5 linked regions of the Oryctolagus cuniculus genome follow. The protein of the gene in region 1 purifies or fractionates together with the protein of each later gene. This does not show direct contact. Links are inferred from orthologs where the notes say so. Each region holds a gene or a part of one and is shown in the gene's direction. Other genes may lie near its edges.

What was found.
Region 2: the proteins of OTUB1 (region 1) and UBE2E1 purify together in Homo sapiens (affinity purification with mass spectrometry; 4 studies listed by BioGRID and IntAct, with this or other methods). This does not show direct contact. The link is inferred for Oryctolagus cuniculus from reciprocal best matches to the Homo sapiens genes OTUB1 and UBE2E1.
Region 3: the proteins of OTUB1 (region 1) and SLC7A11 purify together in Homo sapiens (affinity purification with western blotting; 5 studies listed by BioGRID, with this or other methods). This does not show direct contact. The link is inferred for Oryctolagus cuniculus from reciprocal best matches to the Homo sapiens genes OTUB1 and SLC7A11.
Region 4: the proteins of OTUB1 (region 1) and FOXM1 purify together in Homo sapiens (affinity purification with western blotting; 4 studies listed by BioGRID, with this or other methods). This does not show direct contact. The link is inferred for Oryctolagus cuniculus from reciprocal best matches to the Homo sapiens genes OTUB1 and FOXM1.
Region 5: the proteins of OTUB1 (region 1) and UBE2E3 purify together in Homo sapiens (affinity purification with mass spectrometry; 3 studies listed by BioGRID and IntAct, counting the BioPlex papers as one, with this or other methods). This does not show direct contact. The link is inferred for Oryctolagus cuniculus from reciprocal best matches to the Homo sapiens genes OTUB1 and UBE2E3.

What each region holds. Positions count from the first base shown.
Region 1 is NC_091432.1:7,239,750-7,243,942, reverse strand, and holds the start of OTUB1 (ubiquitin thioesterase OTUB1), read left to right. Parts: upstream 1-1,384; 5' UTR 1,385-1,525; coding exon 1,526-1,679; intron 1,680-2,260; coding exon 2,261-2,322; intron 2,323-2,521; coding exon 2,522-2,620; intron 2,621-4,193. UniProt on the Homo sapiens protein: Hydrolase that can specifically remove 'Lys-48'-linked conjugated ubiquitin from proteins and plays an important regulatory role at the level of protein turnover by preventing degradation.
Region 2 is NC_091435.1:159,783,418-159,786,930, forward strand, and holds part of UBE2E1 (ubiquitin-conjugating enzyme E2 E1), read left to right. Parts: intron 1-3,318; coding exon 3,319-3,451; intron 3,452-3,513. UniProt on the Homo sapiens protein: Accepts ubiquitin from the E1 complex and catalyzes its covalent attachment to other proteins. Catalyzes the covalent attachment of ISG15 to other proteins. Mediates the selective degradation of short-lived and abnormal proteins.
Region 3 is NC_091439.1:26,518,148-26,522,419, forward strand, and holds the start of SLC7A11 (cystine/glutamate transporter), read left to right. Parts: upstream 1-1,466; 5' UTR 1,467-1,749; coding exon 1,750-2,026; intron 2,027-4,272. UniProt on the Homo sapiens protein: Heterodimer with SLC3A2, that functions as an antiporter by mediating the exchange of extracellular anionic L-cystine and intracellular L-glutamate across the cellular plasma membrane.
Region 4 is NC_091440.1:106,455,840-106,459,352, forward strand, and holds part of FOXM1 (forkhead box protein M1), read left to right. Parts: intron 1-600; coding exon 601-645; intron 646-1,250; coding exon 1,251-1,323; intron 1,324-1,507; coding exon 1,508-1,683; intron 1,684-3,513. UniProt on the Homo sapiens protein: Transcription factor regulating the expression of cell cycle genes essential for DNA replication and mitosis. Plays a role in the control of cell proliferation. Also plays a role in DNA break repair, participating in the DNA damage checkpoint response.
Region 5 is NC_091434.1:59,872,594-59,876,106, reverse strand, and holds part of UBE2E3 (ubiquitin-conjugating enzyme E2 E3), read left to right. Parts: intron 1-192; coding exon 193-325; intron 326-3,513. UniProt on the Homo sapiens protein: Accepts ubiquitin from the E1 complex and catalyzes its covalent attachment to other proteins. In vitro catalyzes 'Lys-11'- and 'Lys-48'-, as well as 'Lys-63'-linked polyubiquitination.

The sequences.
Region 1 (4,193 bases):
AGCAGGTCGCCAAAGCCACGGTGGGGACGGCGGTGCGGCCGGCTCCCGGTGCCCTCGCCAGCGCTCGGCACTGCAGCTGCAGCCGCCTGCAAGGGGTGCCGGCGCCCGCAGCTGGAGGAGCCTGCAGTGATTGTAGCTGAACTCGTCCTACGGGTCTCCATCACGCAGCCCGCAGTTCCAGCCCCAGAGAAAGCTGAGTCGGCTGCAGGAGGCTCGCGGCCACGCCGCGGAACTCGGGGGCTGGGAGAGCCGAGCACGCGGAGGCGCGGCTACGGGCGGCCGGCTCCCGAGGGGCCCCGCACCTGCGCCGCCGCGGCCACCGCCCGCGGGGACCCCGTTGCTAGGGCCGTTGCCAAGGAGGGGCCGCCAGGCGGGACTCGCTTCCGGGAGGAGGGCGGCTGTAACCCGGAAGCGCTCGGCGGTGCGGCGCTGTTTAAAGATGGCGGCGGAGGAACCTCAGCAGCAGAAGCAGGAGCCGCTGGGCAGCGACTCCGAAGGTGCGGACCGCGGGAGGGGTGTCCGGCCCGGGCCCGCGGCGGCAAGGCCGGGCCGGCTGTTCTCGGGGAAGGCGGCGGAGGCGGGGCGGCCGGGGCGGCCGCGACGCGCGGACGGCCGCTGCCTCCGCGCCTCCCTGCCCCCTCACAATGGAAGGCGCTCCCTCCGCGACCCCCGGCCGGGCGGGGCGGGCAGTCTCGCGGCCTGGCCGCCGGCGCGCGCCCGGGGCGGGGCCTGGGCCGCCCCGCCCTCCGCGCCGGGCTCCCGGGCCGGGGCCCCCGTCGGGCCGGCCGAGGCCTAGGCCCGGACCGCGGCGCCGGCGTTCGCTCACGGCCGAGAGGCGTCGAGCAGCGTGGAGGGCCGGCTCGGCCGGGTGCGGTGTTGTGGGCGGCGCTGGCCCCGGAGGGGCCGTGGGCGTCCGCCCCTTCGGACTTCGGCCGTTTCCGGTAGAGCCCCCTCTTCTGGCCTGGCCGCCTCTCTCCGCCCGCCCATTGTTTTCTTAGACCCCTGAGGACGTGGGTGCCTTGGAAGTGGCCCCACCCGCCTCCTTTTCCGTCCGGGCGCTGGGCCCCGGGGACCGAGCTGGGCATTGGGGGTGGGGGGTGGGGGTGGCGGCGGATGCAGAGCCGCGCAGGGCACGGGCCGGGGCCCAGCTGCGTTAACCCTGCAAGAAGTCGCTCAGCGCTCACCGGCACGGAGAACCGGCAAGCCCAGGCCCCAGCAGTGACTTGTTCAGGGTCACAGAATTTAAGAGCGAGCCAGGATCCGAATCCAGGTTTCGCGAGCCCTGCGCATGGGACTTCTGCAGAGAGGGGGCCCTGCTCCTAGAGCACGCCAAGGTACCCCCCCCCCCGATGCAGCACTTGGGGCGCCCGGGGCTCGGCGGCGAGGTGGCGGAGCAGAGCGGGGCTCGCTGGGCATTGGACACACGTGGGCGTGACCGCAGGTCTCTACTTGCCAGGATGACTTCACCCCTCTGCCTTTGTTTTGCTCTTTGGAAAATGGGCACCATCAGGGGTACCGTGGGAGGATGCGGAAGTGCAGGCCCCCAGGAAGCTCTGCCCGCAGCCCCCTGCTTTCCCCCCAGGAGACCTCGCCCTGCCCCCGAGCATTCCTGGGCAGGCCAGTGCTGATGGACAGCAGGGAGGAAGGCAGTGCCAGCTGGGACAGTGGACCCTGGGCCGGTGCCGGGCGGGACAGCGGACCCTGGGCCGGTGCTGGGCTGGGACAGTGGACCCTGGGCCGGTGCCGGGCGGGACAGTGGACCCTGGGCCGGTGCTGGGCTGGGACAGTGGACCCTGGGCCGGTGCCGGGCGGGACAGTGGACCCTGGGCCGGTGCCGGGCGGGACAGTGGACCCTGGGCCGGTGCCGGGCGGGACAGCGGACCCTGGGCCGGTGCCGGGCTGGGACAGCGGACCCTGGGCCGGTGCCGGGCTGGGACAGCGGACCCTGGGCCGGTGCCGGGCTGGGACAGCGGACCCTGGGCAGGTGCCGGGCTGGGACAGCGGACCCTGGGCCGGTGCTGGGCTGGGACAGCGGACCCTGGGCCGGTGCCGGGCGGGACAGCGGACCCTGGGCTGGTCGCCTCTTCCTCTCTTCCTCTCATTTTAAAGATGAGGAAGGATTTCTCCCAGTTGGGCACAGCTCGGGAGGAGAAGGGCGTGGGACGCCTGCCCCTGCCGCCAGCTGCGCATCCCTGGCCCAGCTGTCCGCAGCGGAGGGGCCAGGACGCCCAGTCATCCCCGGCTCCTCGGCCTCTTCCAGGTGTTAACTGTCTGGCCTACGATGAAGCCATCATGGCCCAGCAGGACCGGATTCAGCAAGAGGTGAGGGGCGTTCAGCGGGGGGGGCAGAGGCCGGTGACCCGGTCTTGGGCGAGGGCCGGCCGGTCTGAGTTGTCTCTCCCTCGGAGCGCCCTCCTCCTCGGGCTGGGCGGCACTGCACGGTGCTCTGTCCCGCGTTACTGGGTACCCAGCCCAGCCCTCTGCCCCTGCTCCAGCGTCCTGGCTGTGTTGCCCCCCGCAGATCGCAGTGCACAACCCCCTGGTGTCCGAACGGCTGGAACTCTCGGTCTTGTACAAGGAGTACGCGGAGGACGACAACATCTACCAACAGAAGATCAAGGTGGGCACCGGCCGCAGGGCCAGGACTGGGGCTTGCCGGGCCTGTGCCCTGGGGGGGGCGGTTCTGGAGGTGTGCCGGCTCTGGCCCAGAGACCTTGAGCCAGATGCAGGTCCCGCCCCTCAGCAGCGGTGTCCTGGGCAGGTCCTGAGGCCTGTGTGCGGCCAGGTGTGTGCTGGGCGGGGCCTCCCCACGGCTGAGGCTGCCCCTCAGCCCGCCTCCTGGATCTGCTGAGGTGGGTGGCTGTGGGTGTCACCAGCCAGGGCCAGCCCCTCCCCTCCCGCGTTCTGAGAGCAGAGCGTGACGGGTGTGGAGGTGTAGTGAACGTCTCCCCACAGTGAACCGGGGATGCTTGGAGCCTTCACCCGAGGAGAGGCCTGTGGGCGCAGGTGGCCTGGCCACGTGGACAGCGGGGCCCCCCTCCCGTCGTGGGCAGTGGCAGCCTTGCAGCGAGAGCGAGTGTCCGCCCCTCCTCTGCCCTGGGGCAGCTCCAGTTTGCCAAGGGGAGCCAGAAATAGTGAGGTCCCCCTGCGGCGGTGGGCAGCTGAGTAAGAGTCCACGTGTGGTCTGTGGTGGACACGTGGCCGTCCCTGGGGGGCCTGCGGGGAGGGGAGCCACGCTGCGGCAGCAGACCCCTGCGGCTTCCTGCTGCTGTCGGTCTCTGGGAGGAGGGGCCTTCTCCCTCGAGGGGCAGCTGCGGGCTGAGGGTGGTGCTGGCCAGCGCCCCGCAGCGCCAGTCCCGTGCGGAGGGGCGTGTCCCCGGGCCGCATCTCCAGGCTGCCTGTCCCACTGTCTCCCGTAGAAATCAACGGGGTGGGCTCCAGGTCACTCGGCATGTACTTGAGTGTCATAGGAAGTGATTGGGTGTTTAGGGCGGGTATTTGAGTGTCGTGGGAAGTGATTGGGTATTTAGGGTGCTCAGAGGCTCTGCTGGTATTGGATGTGGGTGAGGCCCAGATGGACACCGGGAAGCCTGGGTGGGGCGAGGCTGCGCGGTCACACCCCGGCCCTGTAGGCCAAGATGCCCGGGCTCTGAGGCAAGGGGGAGGTAGCTGGACGTGAGACTCAGCTGGAGTGGAGGGCGGACATCGCGTGGGTTTACATTTGGGGCTGTTGAACTTGGGCTCGATGCTGTCGTGAGCGTGAGCGTAGCTTGTTGCTGGAAGCCGCGTGGGGCACCTGCTGCACCATGCGTGGCCTGCGTTCCCTGGCAGGCGCCCGTGTGGGTATGTGAGGTGACCCAGGAATACTGAGGAAAGGTGCAGTGTGGTTTGGTGGTGGCCTTGACCTTCGGAGGGTGGAGGGGTGAGGAGGGTCTGCCTGGAGTTCAGGGGCGACAAGGACCCGTGGGGTCATTAAGGACCCGGACCTGGTGACCCCGGGGGCAGTGCTGCCCGGGGTTTGTGACCTTGGCTGGAGCAGGTGCCTCCTGTGTGGGAGAGCACGGGGACCGTGCACCTGGCCGCTTTCCAAAATTCTGCCGTAGAGAGGGAGAGGACTCGGGCTTCCGGCCTTCTGAAGTGAGGGCTGCCTGTGTGTCCCTGCGCAACCGGGACTGGCCGTGTGTCCCTGCGCA
Region 2 (3,513 bases), on another chromosome or scaffold:
CTTAGAAGGGGAAAAAAAGATGAAAACTGTGGATGCCACTGTGTCATCGTTTTTGTTTTATTTTTCTCTATAAAATGCACATGCACTCCCCCAGTGACAGTGAATTCCTCAAACATTCAGGCAACAATGGGTGGTCTTTCTTAGGGGTTTCTCAGACCTTTCATGGTGATTGCTGAGACCCCAGGCCAGGGACACCCCCCCCCCCCCCGAGACTTTTCAGGGTCTCTGTTATGTTCTTGATTATTGTAGCTACTCTGTGCACTTGTTTAGCAGAAATGTAACAACTTTTTCCTTATTATTAACTGTTGATTGGATTGTAATGTTCTTGATTGGATTCCTTGCGCCTTTTCTGAACCTTCAGGGAAGTGTGTACACACACAGAAGGCAGGCTGCAAAGCAGGAATCTTCATCTGGAGCTGTAGTTAGGACCGCAGGGGATGCACTGAGAATCTCAAAGCCCCTGTTCCTAACTGGTTCTCCCATTTCCAGCAGCCTGGACCCGTGGTTCCCAATGCAAATCAACTGTTTACCACTCAGCAGGGGGAGCTGTTTGAACGTGTAGATTTTGGGGTCCTGCTGTAGACATTCTAACTCATGCAGCCTGGGGAGTAATCTAAGAGTCTTCATTTTTAGTTATATAGATAATTTTGATGCACAGTGGAATTTGGGGACCCCGTTTTCTTTACAGTTCACATAATCTACTCAAGCCGGCACACTGTTGAGCACCTCTTCTCTGTTATTTAAGGGGCTGGGAGAAGTAGGCAAAGCTGATGTCACCTCTAGGTTAGACTAACCTCACTCTTGTTTCTCTAGGTCAGTCAGTCTCATAGCCTCATGGAGCCGGACCTGGCCAAAACAGTATGGCTTTAGCAGGCGCTGGGAATAGTGTCAGTACTACACTTTGAGGCCTGGTTCCTGGTCTGTAGAGAGGCGTTTAGAGTAGATGGAAGTATGGAGAGTTGAGAGTAGTAGCCTTTTACCTTTGTCTTCCTGACTAGGTAAGAGATTACTCATCTTGTCCTGCACCTGTGTGTCAGTGTTACCTTCCTCTTCTCAGTCCACATCTCAGCCAGCTGCAGTCTGGTGAAGTCACAGCCATTACTGGCCAGCGTCTGCAGAGTCTGCCTGTTCTAGTAAGGCTATACCATCAGCTGGTGGCTTACAAGCAGCAGAAATGTATCAGTTCCCGAGGGGGGAATCTAAAGCCATGGTGCTGCTGTGTCTGGCCAGGGCCTGCGTCCGAGTGCCCATCCAGTGTCTGCTTGCTGTGCCCTCACTTGATGGAAGAAAGCTGGGAGGGGGGGGTCTCTTAGGACACTGATCCCGTTCATGAAGATGTCATTGATGAGCCCCAGTGGCCCACCTCCTCCCAACAGCATCACATTAGAGCAACTCAAACACGTGGGCGGGTAGGTTTTAAGTGACCAGGGACCAGGTCTGCTCCCGGGAGATGAAGCAGCAGGAATCGGAGCCTTTCACTGGCAGGGTTACTGCGCGTTCTTAGAGGGACAGAGGGCTAAGAGCGCTCCCTGCATTGCACCCGGTGAAAATCACAGTCCACTGCCAAGTACACGCACCTGTGACTCCATAGTGTCGGCAGTGGTAAGTGATCTCCCCGTGTGCTCATGTGTTCAGTTGAAGACAAGTTTTTCATAGTTCTTGGGAACACCCATCGCGGAGTTTAAAGGGCCATATCGTCAGAGCCAATGGGAATCATTACCAGTGCTGCTCGCTGCCACGGGCTCCACAGGGCTCTTCCTCAGTTACTTAATTCCTAAGCCATTCCTGTGAGGCAGGTGTGTGAACGTGGGTTTAGGGCGACAGTGGGCTCTCGGGCACACACAGCTAACTCACTGCCTGTGCCCACTCCCCGTCGGGGCCTTTTCTTCACCCATGACTCCTCCCCAAGTCCTGCTTCCCTGGGTTTTTGTAAGCACGTTCCCATAACCTGTGTTTAGCTGTGGCTACTCCTACCCCATGGTGGAGCTGGGGAAAGCAGAGCTCACCTGTAGCCTTCTTACTCCTCTACTCCTCATCTCCTCTCTCTTAAATGAAGGTGTCAAAACCGGCTCTTGTCCAGTGTCAAAACCCCTCACCCGCCTAGCACACAGCTTTCCGTTCATGGTCATTGAGAGAGCCGTGCTGCCTGCCCCGCAGGAGTGGGGCGAGTGTTGGCTGGGTTTCTGCCATCCTCTCCGCGCACACAGCACTGCTCTGGGAGCAGTTCCAGGTGCGTCGGGCACTCTGTCACCGCCCCTGCTCAGCCGTGCTGTGGGGAGGCAGCCCGCTTCCTGAGAGTTTCGTCCTTTCCCCCTTCACTTTTTAGGACCATAGTACTGCACTTACTGGTTTGGGAAGCTAAATTAAGCTCTTCAATAATTTCTAGAATTAGGATAAAATTTGTTAAAACTTCATATATGTGGGAGGTGGGTTGTTTGGCGTGGCGGTTGAGCTGCTACGTGGGATGCACACATTCCGTGTCAGAGTGGGTCTGAGTCCCCACTCGGCTCAGCTTCCTGTAGTCCCTGGGGAAGCAGCAGGTGAAGGCGCAAGACCCTGGGCCCCTGCCGCCCGTGTGGAGACCTGGACTGACCTTGCAGCTCAGCCCTGGCTGTGGTGAGCAGGTGGGGAGGAACCAGCAGAATGAAGGCGTCTGTCAAATCTTTAAAAAATTACATATACGCTTCAGTACAAAGTGCCCTGGAAGCCAAGAGAATGCTGTGGAAGGGTTCTGTGGTCAGAGCGTGGTGTAACCAAGAGTAACAGACATTAGTGTCCTCACCGTAATAGAGAACCCAGTAACAGGATTTGATCTTGAAATTAAAACTGGATAACTTGCCATCATTCTCTTCCCACCCAGCATAGTTTTGGTTTATGAGAAAAAAGCGTGGCCGTCTTTTGGATCTTTTTAGGGTAAGATTATTGAGATACAAGAGCGAGGGAGGAAAACAGCCAGTGTGTCAGAAAACGAAACTTTTGCGCTTCAAACTGCTGTCGTTTGTCTGTATGTGCTAAGGTGTTTAAGTATTTACACTTTGTTCTGTGGCAAGGAGAGGTTTGAGAATTGAGTAACATTTCCTGCTTATTAAGAGCTAAGTAAACTTGGAATGACTTTAACATTCTTGAATCATCCAGTTGACTTGCCCCGAGGCTGATGTTTGCTATAGTTTCTGCATCAGAAAGATACTTCTGTTTTCTGAAGAAAAGTTACACATTTGATAGAAAGGTGGGGGAGGGGGTTCTCGCTCCCCTTTTTTGATACAGTATGAGAGTCGGGTGATGCCACCGTCTGCTTAGCTGTTGATGTGTTCTTTTCAGCGCTGGCCCCAAAGGTGATAACATCTATGAGTGGAGATCCACCATTCTAGGGCCTCCAGGATCTGTGTACGAAGGTGGCGTCTTCTTTCTCGATATTACTTTTACACCAGAATATCCCTTCAAGCCTCCCAAGGTAAGGAATTCCCCTGATTTATGTTAGATTTGCTAGTTCCCATAGGAGCCTAGTGAGGGTTT
Region 3 (4,272 bases), on another chromosome or scaffold:
GAGAGCTGGACTGGAAGAGGAGCAACCGGGACAGAACCGGTGCCCCGACTGGGACTAGAACCTGGGATGCCTATGCCGCAGTCGGAGGATTAGTCTAGTGAGCCATGGCGCGGCCAAGAGAGAGAGGTCTTCTATCTTCTGGTTCACTCTGCAAATGGCTGCAACAGCCGAAGCTTCTTCCAGGTTTCCCACAATGATGCAGGGGCCCAAGGACTTGGGCCATCTTCTACTGCTTTCCCAGGCCATAGCAGAGAGCTGGATCAGAAGTGGAGCGGCCGGAACTGGAACTGGCACCCATATGGGATGCTGGCACTGCAGGTGGCAGCCTTACCCGCTATGCCACAGTGGGAGCTCCCATCCCCTTCTCACTGAACCTGCAACCACATACAACCATCGCCAAAAATGATATCTAGAGTTCTTTTCCTTTTGTACTTGGTTTTCAGATGCTTGGGCAAGAAAGTTGGAAGGGCTTAAAAATGTTGTGCCTTTTGATTTTTTCAAAGTAAGCATTTTAATCTCAGGTTCCATTTGTAATGCATTGGAAATGTAAAAGCATTTATAATAATAGTTCATGTAATTCAGAATAAATCTAATGTATAATTGCCTTTCTACAACTATTCTATGAGTTCATTTTCAGGTTTTTGCTATGTATCTGATTCTATGTCATTGCAATCATTGCTTAAATTTGAAATTAGAATTTTTTGATAATTTGATGGAATAAGGTGCAAATAGGAAATAAATTTCTTCCACTTAGTCCAGGAAATCACCTAGTATATCTATTTTCCAGAGTCACTGTGATTTTTAAATTTGCCACACTCATTTGAGTGTGATTTTAAATACTGATTGACCATGAGTCATAAGAAATAATTTTATCTTTAATGTGAGTCAGACTCATAGTTGTTAGGTGTGTTGCAGCAAGTAAGAGTGAAGATCGTTTTAGCTTTGTAAATATTAGATTTAACTGTGTTGCTAGGAATCTCAAACGGGAAAAAGTGAAAATAAGTATGATACAAATATGAAATCTAAAAATGCTTGTTGCAAATAGTCTAGCTCTGCAGTGCATTCTGTCACCAAAAAAGTTGCCTGTTAAATATTTTTACTTGTGAGTTTAGGAAAAAAAGAAACTCCCTTACAATGAAGAGATCATTTCCTGTTTCATTTTTCATTTTGTTTCGGCGTGAAGAGCTTTTGCCCCTCACTAGGAGTTGCTTTCAATCTCTCTGAAGGTCTGTTCTGAATTTACTACTTTGGGATTGGTGCAGCTGCCTTTTAAGTGCGTGCTTTGTTCTCTGAAAGGCTTATGTCAGTTGAGCAACATGCTGCTACTGTTAAAAAAAAAAAAAAAAAAGCTGAGTAATGCTGGAGCCTTCTCATGTGGCTGATGCAAACCTGGAGAATTTGCATCATCATGTAGCCGGAGTAAGTTGGTGTGACAGGCAAGAGCTTAAATACAAGCCCACGAGGAAGCTGAGCTGGTTTGTAATGATAGGGCAGCAGCCGCTGCAGCAACAGTGGTAGTGCGAGGAGGTGGAGAACTGAGGGCACCATGAACACACAGGTGTTTCTGAGTAGTAATTAGATAGCTGGGAAGGATAAAATACACCTCTGAGTTTCTACCTGTGTTCGTAATAGCGTTGAGAGAGACAATCTGAACGCAAAGAGGAGGAGATCAGTCACACCAAGAGACACTGAAGTTGAAAGTTTTGGTTTTCTTTTCCTGTGTTGTCTTTTTGCCCTGGTATCACTACTATGGTCAGAAAACCTGTTGTGTCCACCATCTCCAAAAGGAGTTACCTGCAGGGAAACGTGAACGGGAGGCTGCCTTCCATGGGTGGCAAGGAGCCCCCTGGGCAGGAGAAAGTGGTGCTCAAGAAGAAAATCACCTTACTGAGGGGAATCTCCATTATCATTGGCACCATCATCGGCGCAGGAATCTTCATCTCCCCCAAGGGTGTGCTGCGCAACACCGGCACCGTGGGCATGTCTCTGGTTGTCTGGACGCTCTGCGGAGTCCTGTCCCTGTTCGGTGAGTACGACTTCTTTCCTGGGAGGTGTGGCTGGGAAGTTTGCAATCTGCTAACTTTGAGGAGTGAAGGAACGGCAAAGCCTGTTCCTCATTATTTGATTTTTGTTGAGGTATGTGAAATGCTGCAACAGAATGCTCACTGTTGTTCTGATCCTAAGTTGCCCCAAATTGCTTCCTGCAGGCTATGCTGTCTTTTCCTGACTCAGACAGACTATTTTCTGACTTTCCCCGTGGTGATGTGCGCATAGGCAAACTTTGATGACCTAGGAAAATGCATGCATGCTTTCTCTCCTGGCTGTTGTGCTTAGTTACATCTGGTGGGGGCATTCAGGCAGCTGGCACACTGAATGAGACACCTGTGAGGCAAAACCCGGAGTGGCCTATTCAGACCCAGAACTGAGCATTCAGCTTGAGTCTCACTGACTTCTGATTAGCAAAACAAATGGGCAGCAGTCTCTTCCTTCTAAGTTCATCTGCTTGTCAATTCCTGATATTCTTTCAAAAGTCAGTGACATGGAAAGATGCATGCAGACCCTTAACTCAGTCTCTCTCATCCGTGGGAATGTGGCAATGTCCTGAACATACTTCAAATATTTTTCAACCTTTATCTCTCCTTAACACTTCTCACCTTCTGCAATGCAAGTTTTAAAACTTCCTTGGCTGTTAGCTTGTTGTGCCTGGCTGGGTCTGTTCTCTTCGTCTGTGTTTCACTTAGTTTCCAGGAAATCAAGTAATTTGTCTACCTGTTCACCGAGTTAATTTAAAGAGAAGTGGTCAAAGAAGTATGATTTTTTTTTCAAGATTCATGTCTCTCCTATTGATTTATGAGTTAATGATACAGAAGTAATAAATGATGCTTCATATCATTGGCAGATTGCTAGAAAGTTACCTGAGTTAGTTGGAAATGTTACAAAAACTGCAGTTATCAAAAATTAACTTGATTTATGCTATGCAGTGAATGCCTAAGATTATTTGCTCATCTCTGAAATAGATTGTTTTGATTTTGAAAGTTACTACGCTTTGAAGTTATTGATCTTTTCCTAATTCTAGGACCAAGTACTAACTCTTAGTCCAATAGGTACCCATACATTCAGTCTTTCTATTTGAATCTTGTGATATTTTAATCCATTGCTTTGGGCAGTCATCGGCAGGCTTATATTTTTAGGAGGAAAGTATTTTAAGTAAAATCTGTTAAAACAAAGTCAGTGTCAAAAATATTTTTAGGTTTTCAGAAAGAGTTTGTAGCATTATTTATGTGAAGAGTTTGTGTTTTATAAAATATTCAGTAATATTGTGTGTCATTGTTTTCCAAGTGTTACTCTCCATCCTTATAGAATACCTTGAAGTAGTCTGATTATGGCAAACTGACAGAACCCTTGGCTGTGATTAATATTAAAATAGTTCTTCATATACAGTTATAAATAAAGAGAAACCTAATTGTTTATCTTCATAAAGACTCTGTGCACCCTCAGCCTTGAATCTTCTTGCAGTACTTGGGCTGTTCAGAATAAATCAATATTTGATCAGAAAAACCACAGCCAGTTTCCTGGACTTTGCATACTTATGTATATGCATTTTTCATAATGTGATTCCATTCTTGCACATACAAAAACTTATTGAGATGTAACAAACTAGACTACTCTGAGTATTCAACTGGTAAAAGTGATGTTGACTTGGCACTATGACAACATGGTAATGCATTAGTATGTCATTTAGAGCAGTAACTCAGAGAAAACAAGCCAAAGTCACATGTGAGTTGGTATTTTTTGATTACTAATTGCAGGGAGGGAGTGTGCTCTTGTATTAATCTACTTCTCTGTATTTGCATTGACTTTGTCACTTAAAGTACTAGGAGCCTTTTGACAGGAGCACCTCCCTAACAGGAAGCAAAGCAAATGTAAGGAAAACATTTTTTTCTGGGACTAAAAGTAAAGAATCTGTGTACAAACAGTCCCTAACTCAAGATCGTTTGATTTATGATTTCACAGTGGTGTATAATAATAATAATAACTTATCCAATAAATCATCCACACTGTTCAATACTTTATTATAAAACAGATTTTGTGTTAGATGACTTTGCCCAACTGTAGGCTATTGTGAGTATTCTGAGCATATTTAAGATGAACTAGGCTAAGCTGTCATGTTCAGCGTGTTAGGGGCATTAAATGCAAAGTTCATATATGTCATTTTCAACTTACACTGGATTTATCAGGAGATAACCCCATCATAAGTGGAGGAGTGTCTGT
Region 4 (3,513 bases), on another chromosome or scaffold:
CTGGTGTCCTCTAAACAGGGCCAGAGGTGGAGGTTGTCCCGGCCATCTCGGAAGGAAACGAGTTCTCTTTGCGATGCTTCCATGTGATCGGGGGAGTGAAGGCCGGCCAGACGGTGACTTGCGTAAAACTCGCTGAATTAAGTACAGTTGAGAAATACTGAATGACACACTTCTAGGCTAGGCCACGGCACAGAGAGCGCTGTTGTGACCCAAAATTGAGGATTTCCCAAGACTGCGAATAAGAATTGCCTGGGACATCTGTTAAATTACAGTTTTCCAGACCCGTTTCGCAGGGCTGCTCATTCAGCGGGCCTGGCATGGGCCTAGAAATTTGCATTTTTAAACAAGTGTCTCAGGTGGTTGCTACAGAGAAACCCTGGGAAACTTGAAGTAAAGCCCTTTAGGCCCGAGACAGGAAGCAGAGGCCCCAGAACTTTTTGTTGTGGGATTTCAGGGTGCCCTTTAGGCTGCTGTACCTGCATTCTCTTGGGGGCCCCAGGCGTCCGATGTCTCAGCATCAATCAGGAACAGGTGTTCTTCCCAGCCTGGTTGGTGGTAACTTCATGTCATTTCTCTCCCCTGATGCCTGGCCGCCACCAGCCACTGGACCCAGGGTCTCCACAATCGCCCGAGCACTTGGAATCAGTAAGGTTCTTTCCCTCTGGCTCGGGGCTTTGTCTTGTTTTCCTTTCACTGCTCAGCATGGCTTTCGTGAACAGAGAGAAGACACGAGGCGGGGAAGGCGGTCCACGGCTGTGCAACCGCTGTGCCCGACCTCAGAGCACCTTACAGCTGCTGGAAGTGAGGGACACCAGGCTGCTGGCCACGGGTCTGCCTCTCCTCCTCTTCCCACAGGCATCACCAAGGTGTGCTGTGCAGGGCAGGGCACGGCACAGCAGGAGAACATGCCACAGCAGTGGCAGACGCATGGCACATGGCTCCAGGAAGCGGACAGTTTTCTCACTTTTCTCCCTGGCTTTTCTCTGCCACTCACATGGCTACGTGCTTGGCATCCCTCGGGGTGGTGAGGACAAGTGGGTGAGATGGCAGTGCTGTCCTGCCATCGAATGCTGTCCACCTGTCTGCTTACCAGGGCCTTAGAGATTGTGCCCACCTGTATCCATACCTTCGACTTGGCTTTTTCTTTCTGGGCTGTTGGTTAGCTCAAGTGCACCAGCTCAGGCTGGTGGGGTTCTGCTTCCCCCTTCCCTTATTAACCTAGGTTTCTTTCTCTCCCTACCCGCCACAAGCAGCAGCAGAAACGACCCAATGCTGAGCTCCGCCGGAACGTGACCATCAAAACTGAACTCCCACTGGGCGCACGTTAGTATGGGAGAGTGGGCCTCAGGCCTAGGCCTTGTTCTGGGGGCATATCTGTAGTGGATCAAGACTCCGGGATTCTGTTCCCAGCTCAAAGGGATCTGAGCCCAGAGGAGAGCAAAGCTCCTGGGACTGAGAAGGGGTGGGCCTCTGTCCCCCTGCTCTTATCTCTCTGGTTTCCTCCTAGGGCGGAAGATGAAGCCACTGCTACCACGAGTCAGCTCCTACCTGGTGCCCATCCAGTTCCCAGTGAACCAGTCACTGGTGCTGCAGCCCTCAGTGAAGGTGCCATTGCCCCTGGCAGCTTCGCTCATGAGCTCAGAGCTCGCCCGCCATAGCAAGCGAGTACGCATTGCCCCCAAGGTGAGCGTCTTCTCTCTCTCTCCATTAGAAGTCCTGGACCTATAGCTTGTGAATCACTGTGCTAAATGGTCCTTGGAAGCTGATGAATCTAGCTGGGTAGACAACCATAAAGACACAAGAAAATGTGGTAGCGTGGTAAGAGCTAAAAAGGGATTTGGATTACAACGTAAATGGTGTCAGGAGGCCCATGAATACTTGATGAGTTTTTAAAAATTCAGACAAGGGTGGTTGTGATATGTGGGCTGAGGTGGCTGAGGAAATACAAGGAGGCACGTTTGAGGAAGAAGTGAGTCTGGGTGAACAGACAAGTTTGGAGAGAGCATCCTCGTGGGCAGTGCCCTGGAAGCAGGAGATGCCGGTGCGTACCTGGGAGTGGCAGAGTGAATCAGTCAGTCTCAGCATTTCTCAGCCTCAGCCTTACTGACACCTGGGGCTGAGTTAGTCTTTGTCAGTTTGGAGGGGTATTGTCTATGGGTCTGTTGTCCTACCTACTAGAAGCCAGTATCACACATGCACTCCCCCCCCAACCCTCAAGGCATGACATTGCAGAATGTCTGTGGGGAGGGGAAGCTGTCCCCAGTTGAACATCACTGGTCCAGCCTGGGAATGTGGGAAGGGTGAGCTAAGACCACACCAGGAGGGCCACCGAGTCTTGTCTTAACCCGGCAAGGACAACTGTTTGTGGGAGAACCACTGCACCCCATTCAGTGAGATGGAGATAACCTAAACTAAAGCTTAGAGAGATTTGGGTTTGTTTTTATTCTTCTAATTTAGAAATATTTTTAGGGGCAGGCATTGTGGCGCAGGATGTTAAGCTGCCACTTGAGGACCACAGCCCATATCGAGTGCCTGTTTCCAGTCCCGGCTCCTCCACTTCCAATCCAGCTTCCTGCTAATACGCACCCTGGGAGGCAGTGGACGACGACTCACGTACTTGGGTGCCTGTCTTCCATGTAGGAGACCTGGATAGAGGTCTGGGCTCCTGGCTTCAGCCTGACCTAGCTATTGTAGGCATTTGGGAATTCATATATAAATAAAATTTTGTGTGTTACAAAGAAGTTTCAAAATTCCTGGAAATTTTGCATTTTTAAATTCCAGTTTCCCACAAACTTTTTGAAAATTTTTTTTTAATTTTATTTGAAAGGCTGAGAAATAAAGAAAGAGATAGAACTTCCATCTGCTGATTCACCCCCCCCAAATGTCCGCAACATTCGTGACTGGTTGTTTTTTGGTTTTTTTGTTTGTTTTAAGATTTATCTATCTATTTAAAAAGCAGAGTTACAGAGGCAGAGAAAGAAAGAGAGGTCTTCCATCTGCTGCTTCACTCCCCAAGTGGCCACAATAGCTGGAGCTGGGCTGATCCAAAAGCAGGAGTCAGGAGCTTCTTCCAGGTCTCCCACATGAGTGCAGGAGCCCAAGGACTTGGGCCATCTTCCATTGCTTTCCAGGCCACAGCAGAGAGCTGGATCAGAAGCGGAGCAGCTAGGACTCGAACCGGCACCCATATGGGATGCTGATTGTGCAGGCAGCAGCTTTACCCACTACGCCACAGTATCAGCCCCAAAGCTCTTTTATATGCTTAAATTTTTTTAATTAAATTTTTTAAAGATTTATTTATATTTATTTGAAAGACAGAGTTGCAGAGAGAGGGAGAGAGAGAGAGGTTTTCCATCCGCTGGTTCACTCCCCAAATGGCTGCAACAACCGGAGCTGAGCCGATCCAAAACCAGGAGCCAGGAGCTTCTTCTGGGTCTCCCTTGTGGGTGCAGAGGGCCAAGAACATCTTCCACTGCTTTCCCAGGCCACAGCAGAGAGCTGGATCGGAAGTGG
Region 5 (3,513 bases), on another chromosome or scaffold:
GTTTGAGATATTTTAAAATAGGTTTTTATACATATGCCTGAGCACATTAGGGCTTATTGCTTTTTTTTTTTTTAATACTTAATCTCATTCTTTGTTGCTCTTACCAATTTACCTTTAATACTTTACTGGTTTTAAGATGTTAGCATGTATATTTGCAGATGTATATATTGATTTTTAATTTCTTTTAAATAGTGCTGGGCCTAAAGGAGATAACATTTATGAGTGGAGATCAACTATACTTGGTCCACCAGGTTCTGTATATGAAGGTGGTGTGTTTTTTCTGGATATCACATTTTCATCAGATTATCCATTTAAACCACCAAAGGTAAGAACATATAAGTATATTCTTTAATATTCATTCTTCTCTGAAATCATTAATTCTAGGACTTGCTTGTATTCTGGTTGCATTTTATTTCATTATTTTTCATGAATTTATGTGGAATCTCACATGAAAGAATTTTAAAACTGAAAGTAATTGAGTCTTACAAATAATTTTGTGATCAACAGAAGGAAGGTGAATTGTTAATTGTAAATAAAACTATACTTTGCATATCAGTGAGGCAGATACATTTTGAACTTCTGAGGGAAAATATTCGGTGAACCTTCTCTAAGAAACATACTGGGACAAAAAACTGACAGTTTGCAGAAATGAGAGTTTAGTGTGAGTTTTATGCGAAATCCTTCATAGATAAGCAAAAACCTGGGAAACTACAACAGATACACAGGAAACTAGTAATGTGGCTGCGTGGGTATGACCTTGTACTGGAAGTGGAGGATGACCGGGGGTGGTTTCTGCCTGTTAGTGCTTCATTCACTTGAAATATGAATTACATGGCTAACAAAGAGAAGCATTAAGTTGTGCCTTGTCATAACTGTCAGTTTACCAGACTTAAACGTAACATAATTAGTTTACAAAACTTAAACAAGACACTCATGTGAATGGCTTCCTTCCTTTTACCTGTCAAGCTATATAAAAAAAAAAAAAAATGCCAGAACGAAATCAGAACACAATTGTACTTTTATTCCAGAGACGTTCAACATGCCAGGGGGAAAAGTGTGTTAGCAAGCCTATAGCCCTTAGCTGCTACATTATTCCTCTTATGCCCTATACTATTTAAGGTTTATGTAGAGGGGGAAGCATTTGACACAGTTGTAAAGATGCTGCGTGGTACGCCCACATCGCATTTTGGAGTGGCTGGGTTTGTCTCAGCTCCACTTTCAACTTTCTTGCTAATGTACACCCTCAGAAACAGAAGATGATGGCCCAAGTACTTGGGTCCCTGCTACCCGTGTTGGAGATCTGGATTGATTTCCAGACTCCTGGGATAAGATTGGGCAAGCCCCAGCTATTGTGGATATTTAGGGAGTGAACTAGCAGATTGAAAATCACTCTGCCTATGTGTGTGTGTCTCTGTCTTCCAAATAAATAAAATCTTTTAAAATTACAATTTATGTAGCAACTTGATGCATGTGTGTGTAATATATATAATAAATATTACGTAAAGATTTAAGAAAGATTCTGTCTCAGGAAAGCATTATATAATAAGGTAACAACAGTGCCACCTAGTGGTATTTACCTCAAGTTGCAGATGCCAAGGTCTGGATCCCCTACAAATATTTACTGTCAGTTACAGTTACCAGATTATTTTTGGAGTGTTTTTCTATGTGTTCCATCAGAATCTAAGATCTCAGCCGGCGCCGTGGCTCAATAGGCTAATCCTCCACCTTGCGGCGCCGGCAAACCGGGTTCTAGTCCCGGTTGGGGCGCCGGATTCTGTCCCGGTTGCCCCTCTTCCAGGCCAGCTCTCTGCTATGGCCAGGGAGTGCAGTGGAGGATGGCCCAGGTGCTTGGGCCCTGCACCCCATGGGAGACCAGGAAAAGCACCTGGCTCCTGGCTCCTGCCAGGATCAGCGCAGTGCGCCGGCTGCAGCGGCGGCCATTGGAGGGTGAACCAGCGGCAAAGGAAGACCTTTCTCTCTCTCTGTCTCTCTCTCACTGTCCACTCTGCCTGTCAAAAAAAAAAAAAAGAATCTAAGATCTTGAAGTTAATATATTTTTTACTGTTTCCAGGTCTATAGAATCCATCTTGCTGAATCAATTAAAAGGGCGAAACCCTAATTTGATTAACACCTTTAAATGTTAGTATAATGCTAAAAGTACTCTGTATTACAGGAAAACAAATGAAATTTTAGAAATACCTTATAACTGTATTTATAAGTAGTGATAACTCTGCCTAGTGTTCCATATTAGAATTGCTTTAAACATGTTAGCAAAACTAGGGGAAAAAAGCAAGATTTATTTTATACAGAATTATAACACTGTTAACATTTGTCCTATCAACTTAATGGAAAATGGGTTGACTAACATGGGTTTCAAACAGTTGTTCTGTGTGTGATTTATCATTTTGATTAATGCAGTTCTTTTCAAATTCAGCTTATTAATTTTTGAAATTATAATTTAATTTTCTAATTCTTTAATTTCTGTTTACTCCTCTTGCTAAGATAACTTATGTAGAATTAGGCATCACTAAGTTCTAAAAAAATGTTGGACATTTGAAACAAACGAAGTTTCTGCTATTAACTTGTTGGAACAATTATTTCTGTTTAGTTCCTGTTTTTTGAAGTTAAAAGTTGAACTTGTTGAATGATAAATATGTAATTCTCTTCTGTTCATGAATAGTATTTTTGTTCTCTAGTTATTAAGAGCTGAACATTTTCAAAATATTAATTTTATTTGTAAACCACTGTGTCTCTATTGAGTGTCAATAACCTGAATATACATTATTCCTCATTTTATAGAGCAGCACTAATAGAATTATAATAGAGACTATAGATAGAAGTTTAAATGTTCAGGTAGGCACAGTTAAAAATGGAAAAAGAGACCATAAACTTATATTTTTATTTACTTACTTTGAGAGATAAGAGAACAAGTTCCCATATGTTGGCTCCCTCTCCCAAATGCTCACAACTAGGTGTGGGCCAAGCTGAAGTTAGGACCTGGGAACTCAATGTCCCCTGCGGATGGCAGGGACCCACCCACATCAGCCGCCCCCTACTGCCTTCCAGGGTACACGACATCAGAAAGCTAGAACCTAAAATGGAGCCAGGACACTAAACCAGGCACTTAAATACTGGATGCAGGTTTCTTCAGTGGTATTTTTACTGCTAGGTCAAACAAGTACCCCTAAAATTAATAATAATTTGTTTTGGTTAGCCAAGTACCAAAACACTGTCATTTTCACATAAGTACAGTATTATTTCTGATGCCTTTTACATCATCTTTTTGCCACCAAGTTTTTGAAATCTGATTTTATACTTTGATGCTTTGGGTAGCCCCAGTTCAAAAGTTGTGTATTCACACATATGTAGTTAGTTGGTTTTGTATTGGACAGAGCAGTTCTAGAGGCTCCGCCTCTTCCCACACTGAACCAGTAAGCTATTCCTGTCTTTCCGTCCTCACCTTTCAACTACTGCCCCCTTTTCAGAAAGATACGTCTGAGAAATTTTAGTATT